Linked DNA regions of Macaca mulatta. Each later gene encodes a partner of the first gene's protein in a complex. Links are inferred from orthologs where the notes say so. Each region holds a gene or a part of one and is shown on either strand. Other genes may lie near its edges. The genes, in order: ARMC8 and GID8.

Region 1 (4,271 bases):
ACAGACCCATAAACAGGGGTGATAAATGCTATACTAAATTTGGAAACCAAGTACAGGAGGAAGACAGGAAAACAGTGAAGAGCAAAGTGAGGGAGAGGCTATCAGCTACAAGACCAGTTGGAAGGCTTTTGCTCTAGTCCAGGGGAGAGGTTACAAGAGCCTGAATTAGGGTGTGGCTATAGAAATGGAAGGAATACAAGTAATGTTAATAGGCTAATTGCAACCCTACTGTGAAAACCTTACTGGTTGCAAGCAGTACGAAGGTGAAACTTGTCCAACCAAGTCAAGGGCAGTGTTGCGCGCGCGCGCACGCACGCACACACACACACACACACACACAAAGTAGTAGGACAGCTGAATTAATCAACTATAATTAAAAGCATACTTTTATTTGGCTTCGGTTATCAGAGTGTTTTAGTGTGAAATATTTAGATATTTGCCCCCATTTTCCCCACTTAACTCAGAAGCTGGAGAAACATTAACACATATGTATAACGCTTTCCATGTTTTAGGTTTTTTCTTAGCGCTTCACATTTGTTGACTCCTTTATCCTCATTAACCTTTATTTTACAGATGAGGAAACTCAAAACATAAGGTTAGATAACTTACCCAGGGTAAAGCAGCTGAGAAGTAGCTGGGAAGAAGCTCAAGCATTCTGGCTATTCTCAACACTACACCAGAATAAACGGGGCCGACACACAACCTAAGGCAAGTCACACTTCTGTACTGGATCGTGAAACAATCACTCTTATGGTTGACAAAGGTTCTGGGATCGCAATTTCCCCACCTATAAAATGGAGATAACGACGCCGGGAGTTTGGTGCAGAGAGAGAGAGAATGAATATGAAAGTGAACTTCAAACTATGTATATGGCTCCACGTACTACTTTTTCCAAATATGAATACGGGAACCCACAAACTGCAATTTATCAGTCGGTAGAGCTCGTAGCGCCAGGGCGAGACTCCGCCTCTAGGGCCCCGCCCACCGCGAGCGGCAGGTGGGGCCGGCAGATCTTCTTTGCGCATGCGGAAACCGCTGCCCGCTCCCACCTCTAAACCAGGCTCAGAGTAGCTGCTGTTTCTGAGAGAACGATTCGTAGGACAGCCCCTGACGCGATTCCCTTTTGCCCTTCTTTCTGCGGGCCTTTCTGGTACTTGAGCGGTGTCCAGAGCGTGACCAGTTCTCGTCTATCCGGCTGTCTTTAAGGAGCGATGACTAGCGTTGGCCAATAGTTGGCTGTCGAAAGTGCCGGCCCCCGCGCCGGCGCCTGCAGCAGCCGGGTGGGAAGGCTCAAGATGGCGTGCCTGTTAGAGACCCCAATCCGCATGAGCGTCCTTTCGGTGAGTGACCCGCTGCGGCCGCCCGCCCGCCCTCCAGGGAGCCCCATCCCGGTCTCCACCATTCCCCCAAGCGTGGTGTGCCTCCTGGGCACCACCCCCTGGGGTGGTCCCCGGCTCAGTCTTGGGCCAGGGAGTGAGCGAGGGTGGACAGGCGGGATAGACGGGCAGAGGGGACCCCGGCCGAGCCAAAGACATTTCCAACTCCGGGAGCTCCTGCCGGTGCGGGTTTCCAGGATGGCGTCTGGCAGGCGGGGTAGCTGGGCTTACAGACAACTGGCCCGGCGGCGCGGCTTGGACTTTGCCAAGCGTTTCACTGAGCCTTCCTCTTAGAGATGCCGCTTCCCGGGGGCCGAGCGCTCTGCCTTGTGAAGCGCCAGGCTTGCAGCCGGCCTGGGAACGAAAGCTCACTCAGCTCTCCCGGGCTTTGGCAAGAAGAGGTGCAGGCTCCTTGGCCCCCATTTCCTCAGAGCTGCCAGGCCAAGTCTGTGCGACTTCTATTGCGTCCCAGCACCTGGGCACCGGCTGAAGCTGTTTGCTTTTTGGCAATGGTGATTCGTATCAGCTGCGACTCTTCCTAGTGTGTGTGGTTATTTAAGCCCCTTTCCTCCGCTCTGCTCAGAGGTCGCGGCTCTGAGTCAAAGGAACTCTATGTTCCCTGTGCCTGGTATTCCGTTTTTCTTTAAGGGGAGTCAAACATTGAAGGGGGGAAAAGGGGGAGAGATTTCCCCATTGTTGAAAGAAGGGAACGTATTGACATGCGAGGAAGTAAAACCTGTTTTGTTTTTTTTTAAAAAAAGTTTTTTTTAAAGAAAAAGACGACTTTCACCTTTCACTATGTTGCTCTTGAACCAGGACCAGGAATGAAAGTTACTGGGAGATAACTTCGAAGGATTTTGCAACAAATTCGAGCTGTCCGACTCTGAGAATGGTCAGTTTACCAATGGTTCATTTGCTATTGTTGGAAACAAGCAGGCACATACTAATTGACCATCTTTTAGACTTGTGGAAGCCCGTCTGATACTGAGAGGGTCGTTGGATTATAAATGACTTGTCGGGTTGCTAGAGTCTTGTAACTACAACCGGTTTCTTTTCTCTTCTCTGACTTGTCCCACAAACACCTATCTGAAAGCAGCTAGGACATTTGCTTATGATTCAGGGTTAGAGCGGTGTGGCAGACCTCAACCTTGAAAAGGCTTAAGTTGTCAATACAATAATAATTTAATTTTGTGAGCCTGTCAACAGATTTTTCCCCCGATCCATTTTAGCAGTCGTTTTTTCTTATTTTTAAACTGCAACTAAGGAAATACCGTTTACCTAAGTATTATATCAGATTAGCCTGTTACTCCATCACTGACTGTAATACCCAGGAATATTTTGTGGGAGTGCAGGCCAATGACTTTTACCTCATTATGTTAAAAAATAAAAATAAAAAAAGTGTGTGTCTTGGCTGTTCTCAGTTCCCCTTTAATTATGCATTTAGGTTTCATTTATTCTTCAGTTCACCTGAAGCTTACTTTTTGGATGTTGTCAACTTGTGTGATGCATATGATTTAAAGTTTTCATTTGTTTCACTTCCTTGGTAAATAATGTTTTCTGCTTATTCAAAAACTTCTTGAAGAGTATTTTCTATCAATACTTCTATTTACAATTTGCCTTTAGCCCTAGTCTAATTAGGGGCTTTTTTGGGGGGGGGGGGGAAGTAGGAGCTTTTGGGTAAATGATTTAAGATGTTTAAATTCACTGATTTTACTAATTTAAAGTAAAACCTGTACCTTTCAAAGTACTACCCAGAGCACCACGTTTTGAAACGCAAACTAGAACAGGAAGTATTCATCAGAAATTATCTTGAATGGTTGATTCCTTTAATAAGCTACAATGTACCAGTTATGTACAAGCTCTGCATTGTATACCTTAGAGAATGCAAGGATGAGATCAGAAATGTGTTTAAGGAGCTCCTAGTCTGAATGATGGTGTAACTTGATAAACATAATTTCAGCAAGGAGGCCTTCAAGTTGTTTTAAAGGATTTCCATTTGAGTCTCTTTATACCTTCTCCTTGGGAGATCTCATTGATTTTCTTATAACCTTAACTGATCAGTTCACACATCTACATTGCCAACCTTGACTTTCTTATACATCTAGTCTTGTATCTTAAATTGTGTGTGGATGACACCCATCGCTTCCAGCAAAGCACATTCCTTCTCCTAAGGGGAATTAGTTATGACTTCCCAATTTCTGTTAATGGTATTATCTTTTACTGATGAGTCACTGTTAAACCTCCTGAATAATCTCTGGTTCTTCCTTCTTTCATCCCCCTATATCTATCAGTTGTTAAGCTCTGTTGCTTCTTTATTCTTAGTGTTTCTCGTATCTTTCTGTTCCCATGACCACCCTCATTCAGGACCTTGTTGTTTTGTGCCTGCACTACCACAGCGTCCTTTTAGTTATTTTTACTGTCTCTAGTGTCTTACCCCCTCAGTGCAAGCCCAATGTCTACATTAATTTTCCTAAAGAACTCTGCACAGCTGCTCCTCGGTTTCTTTTCTTTATTGAGTTTGTTTTGCCTAAAGGCCCAAGTTTATATTCAGCTTCAGAGTTGAGATTCTTTATTTTCTTCTTTATCTTCTTTTTTGTTTTTTGAGATGGAGTTTTGCTCTTGTTGCCCAGACTGTAGTGCAGTGGCACTATCTTGGCTCACTGCAACCTCCGCCTCCTCAGTTCAAGAGATTCTCCTGCCTCAGCCTCCTGAGTAGCTGGAATTACAGGCACCCGCCACCATGCCCAGCTAATTTTTTGTATTTTTAGTAGCAACGGAGTCTCACCATGTTGGCCAGGCTGGTCTCGAACTCCTGACCTCAAATGATCCACCCACCTTGGCTTCCCAAAGTGCTGGGATTGCAGGCATGAGCCACAGCACCTGGCGGAGATTCTT
Region 2 (3,809 bases), on another chromosome or scaffold:
TGAGTTATGCAGAAAAACCCGATGAAATCACGAAAGATGAGTGGATGGAAAAGCTCAATAACTTGCATGTCCAGAGAGCAGACATGAACCGCCTCATCATGAACTACCTGGTCACAGGTAATGGCTTACAGCAAGGATGTTGTTGCGCGAATGTGATTCTCCCTTTTTGAACACATAAGGAGTGCTGTAGCCGTGAGGTTTGATGACGTAGTTATTTGTGTTCAGACATTATAAAAACACAATGCTAACCTGATAAGTTTGTAAATTATCATGTGAAAGATAACCTTTTCTGAAGATGAGATTATTCCAGGTCTCTGAGCCCTAACACAAACCCATTTCTCAGCCTTTGACAGTTTTATAGTTAGTCAAGATAACTGAGACTGTTGTGAAGTAAGTATATTTAAAGCCAAATTGTTAATCTCCTCTGGCCAGTCTGCTTGAGTATGGTGGCCTGTTTCCAGAAGGTATGCCCAACTCAGGACGAGAATGGGGAAGGGCAGAAGTGTGCAGAGGGAAATAAGACTCAGGCTGTTCTTGATGTTGGCTGGAGGAAGGGCAGTGCTTTATATGGTGAGAAAATAGATGTTTTTAAAAGGCATGACATGAAAAATCTCCCTCCTGTTAGTCCCCATTTCGTACTCCCAAATTAATCTCTGTGAAAATTTTTTAGGCCAAACATGGTGGCTCATGCTTGTAATCCTAGCACTTTGAGAGACAGAGGAAGATTACTTGAGCCTAGAAGTTGGAGATCAGCCTGGGCAACATAGTAAGACCTTGTCTCTACAAAAACAATTTTTTAATTAGCTGGGTATGGTGGCTTGTGCCTGTAGTCCCAGCTACTTGGGAGGCTGAGGTGGGAGGATCACTTAAGCCCGGGAGGTGGAGGTTGCAGTGAGCCAAGACTGTGTCACTGCCGTCCAGCCTGGGAGAGTGAGTGGGACCCCATCTCAAAAAAAAAATTTTTTGAAAGGTGATGAGGAAATTTAGGCCTATAATTATGTCAGGGGCAGGGGAAGGGGCACACATGCTAGCTTTAAAAAATTGTAGACACTCTTAAGAGGTGGGAGTCACCAGGCCACTGCAGGTGGAGCTGGCCATGGAGGGCTCCTGTGCTGTGGAGGCTGAGCCGGCTGTGGAGGCTGGGCCGGCTGTGGAGGCTGGGCCGGCTGTGGGGGCTGAGCCAGTGTGACTTGCCTAATCTGGCACCAGAGCTGCAGCTGCTGGCATCTGGACCTATTATCTGTCCTCTCAAAGGAGCCCACACCAACACACTAGGTCAGCAGCCATTCTGACCCCTTTGCTAACAGGTTAGAGTTTTTGGATGGGATAACAAGGTATATTCTTCTCATTTTCTGTATGTATTTTGAGAGCATGACTTGTAAATTACAAAGATACTAATACCGGGTTCCTGAGAAAGTGTGGTTCACATTAGAGGTGATTAATTGAGGCAGTTGGAGTTTCTGGAGATACAAAGTCTTTGCCTTAATTCCTTGCTCACTTTCCTAGCAGTGAAGATGGTTTTTCTTTTCAGAGGGCTTTAAGGAAGCAGCGGAGAAGTTTCGAATGGAATCTGGGATCGAACCTAGTGTGGATCTGGAAACACTTGATGAACGAATCAAGATCCGGGAGATGATACTGAAAGGTCAGATTCAGGAGGCCATCGCCTTGATCAACAGCCTCCACCCAGAGCTCTTGGACACAAACCGGTATCTTTACTTCCATTTGCAGGTAAGTTTCAGGAGAGAGCAATCTGGTTTGTGGATACTTGATAAGTTAAAGTTATTTGCAATGATCGAGAAATAACTAGGCTAATTTGCTTTAATGTTATTTTAATGCATGTGCGGGGGAGGGGTTTGAGTTTGCTCTTTTATGTAGTTCAGAAGCTATTTTTTGTTTTAAAAATGCGAATTTGATAACTCAGAGATGCAAGAAGTCTTCCCTCTGTGATGTACTTTTGATGGGGACCCTGGTACCACCTGCCCTGAGTCCCTGTCTTGGGTGTGTGTGGGTCAAGCTTGTCTGTCTCTGCCTCCAGCAACAGCATTTGATCGAGCTGATCCGCCAGCGGGAGACAGAGGCGGCGCTGGAGTTTGCGCAGACTCAGCTGGCGGAGCAGGGCGAGGAGAGCCGAGAGTGCCTCACAGAGATGGAGCGTACGCTGGCACTGCTGGCCTTTGACAGTCCCGAGGAGTCGCCCTTCGGAGACCTCCTCCACACCATGCAGAGGCAGAAGGTGGGGCCCACCAGAGGGAAGCTTTCTTCCACTCCCAGCGTGCTCCGAGAGGGCTTCGCAAAGACACCAAGTGTGTGGCTTTGTGGTGTGGACTGAGGTGGCTTCTGTGCCTGGGATGCTAAGTGGTTCCCTCATGACTTTTTTTTTGGAGATGAAGTCTTGCTCTGTCGCCCAGGCTGGAGTGCAGTGACGAGATCTCGGTTCACTGCAACCCCCGCCTCCTGTGTTCAAGCGGTTCTCCTGCCTCTACCTCCCTAGTAACTGAACTACAGGAGTGCGCCACCACGCCCAGCTAATTTTTGTATTTTTAGTAGAGACGGGGTTTCACCATATTGGCCAGGCTGCTCTCAAACTCCTGACCTCAGGTGATCCAGCCTCCCAGAGTGCTGAGATTACAGGTGTGAGCCACCGTGCCTGGCCCATCTCTGGCTTTTAATCTTTTGTCAAACTAGGGGCAACAGACTTGGTGTCCGTTGCAGAGTATTCACACCCTTTGCTGATTTCTCATGTTTATCTGAACCTTCTTCCTGTTTAGGTCCCAAGTATTTTTCATTTAAAATCCTGTTTTCTGAAACTTTTCTCTCCTCACTGCTGTTTTTGTCTGGCAGAACATGACAGCTCCTCATCTTCCCAGACCCAGGTCCCTCTTCCCCCAGGTCCTCTCCTAGGGCCCTGTCCTCCCTACACTGTCTTGGAAGGATGGCCTGTCCTAGAGTCCACTTGAGATGTTTTCTTGAGGCTTGTGAGGAGGGTGCTGGTATGTCCTGCTACGCTGGTCTTGCCTCTCCACAGTCCCCTCAGCACTTTGTTCAAGCCTTGCTCATGGCACTTAACTGCCATCGAGGCTGGATGTGACATTTGCCGACCAGACTGTGAGCTTCTCCAGGCAAGGACTATGTGTTTCATGTCCCGAGAGCGTCTTGCAGTTAAGGGCTTAATCTTTGTTTAAACTGCATATTTTTAATAGACTCTACTGGTGCTCTGCGTGTGTGGTGGTTTTTATCTGATGTATTTACATTCTAGGTGTGGAGTGAAGTTAACCAAGCTGTCCTAGATTATGAAAATCGCGAGTCAACACCCAAACTGGCAAAATTACTGAAACTACTACTTTGGGCTCAGAACGAGCTGGACCAGAAGAAAGTAAAATATCCCAAAATGACAGACCTCAGCAAGGGCGTGATCGAGGAACCCAAGTAACGCCTGCGCTTGTGTGGTGGACCCAGCACCACCCCTGCGTCGTGGGACTTGCCTCAGATCAGCCTGCGACTGCAAGATTCTCACTGCAGTAGAGAACTCTTTTTCTCCCTTGTACTTTTTTTTGACCTGGCATCTTTTTTATAGGGAAAAATGGCCTTTGTAGGCAGTGGAAAACTTGCAAGGAAAGCTGCCGTCTCTTTGGCAGTCTGATGCAGAGCCTGCACTCTGGCACTCGCTGAAGAATCTGGAAGGCTGCGGTTTGCTCTTCCAGCGTTCCGGCGGCCTCTGACTGCTGAAGGATTTGGTTGGCCACGGAGGGCTGTGCTGTTAGGCTGCATCCCACTCAAAATACAGGAAAAGCACGAATCATGATTCTGCT

The links.
Region 2: the proteins of ARMC8 (region 1) and GID8 are in contact, whole or in part, in a cryo-EM structure (PDB 7NSC), measured with the Homo sapiens proteins. The link is inferred for Macaca mulatta from reciprocal best matches to the Homo sapiens genes ARMC8 and GID8. Residues at the interface, in NP_001350870.1 of Homo sapiens: Asn45, Val47, Ile48, Gly49, Asn50, Val85, Ser89, Met92, Arg127, Arg130, Arg161, Tyr162, Tyr166, Leu200, Ser201, Tyr202; in NP_060366.1 of Homo sapiens: Ile83, Ala84, Asn87, His90, Pro91, Glu92, Leu94, Asp95, Thr96, Tyr101, Tyr183, Glu184, Asn185.

The regions. Positions count from the first base shown.
Region 1 is NC_133407.1:41,184,313-41,188,583, forward strand, and holds the start of ARMC8 (armadillo repeat-containing protein 8), read left to right. Parts: upstream 1-1,277; 5' UTR 1,278-1,295; coding exon of another isoform or gene 1,296-1,340; intron 1,341-2,137; exon of another isoform or gene 2,138-2,192; 5' UTR 2,193-2,265; coding exon 2,266-2,268; intron 2,269-4,271. UniProt on the Homo sapiens protein: Component of the CTLH E3 ubiquitin-protein ligase complex that selectively accepts ubiquitin from UBE2H and mediates ubiquitination and subsequent proteasomal degradation of the transcription factor HBP1.
Region 2 is NC_133415.1:115,762,507-115,766,315, forward strand, and holds part of GID8 (glucose-induced degradation protein 8 homolog), read left to right. Parts: coding exon 1-117; intron 118-1,531; coding exon 1,532-1,728; intron 1,729-2,035; coding exon 2,036-2,233; intron 2,234-3,256; coding exon 3,257-3,430; 3' UTR 3,431-3,809. UniProt on the Homo sapiens protein: Core component of the CTLH E3 ubiquitin-protein ligase complex that selectively accepts ubiquitin from UBE2H and mediates ubiquitination and subsequent proteasomal degradation of the transcription factor HBP1.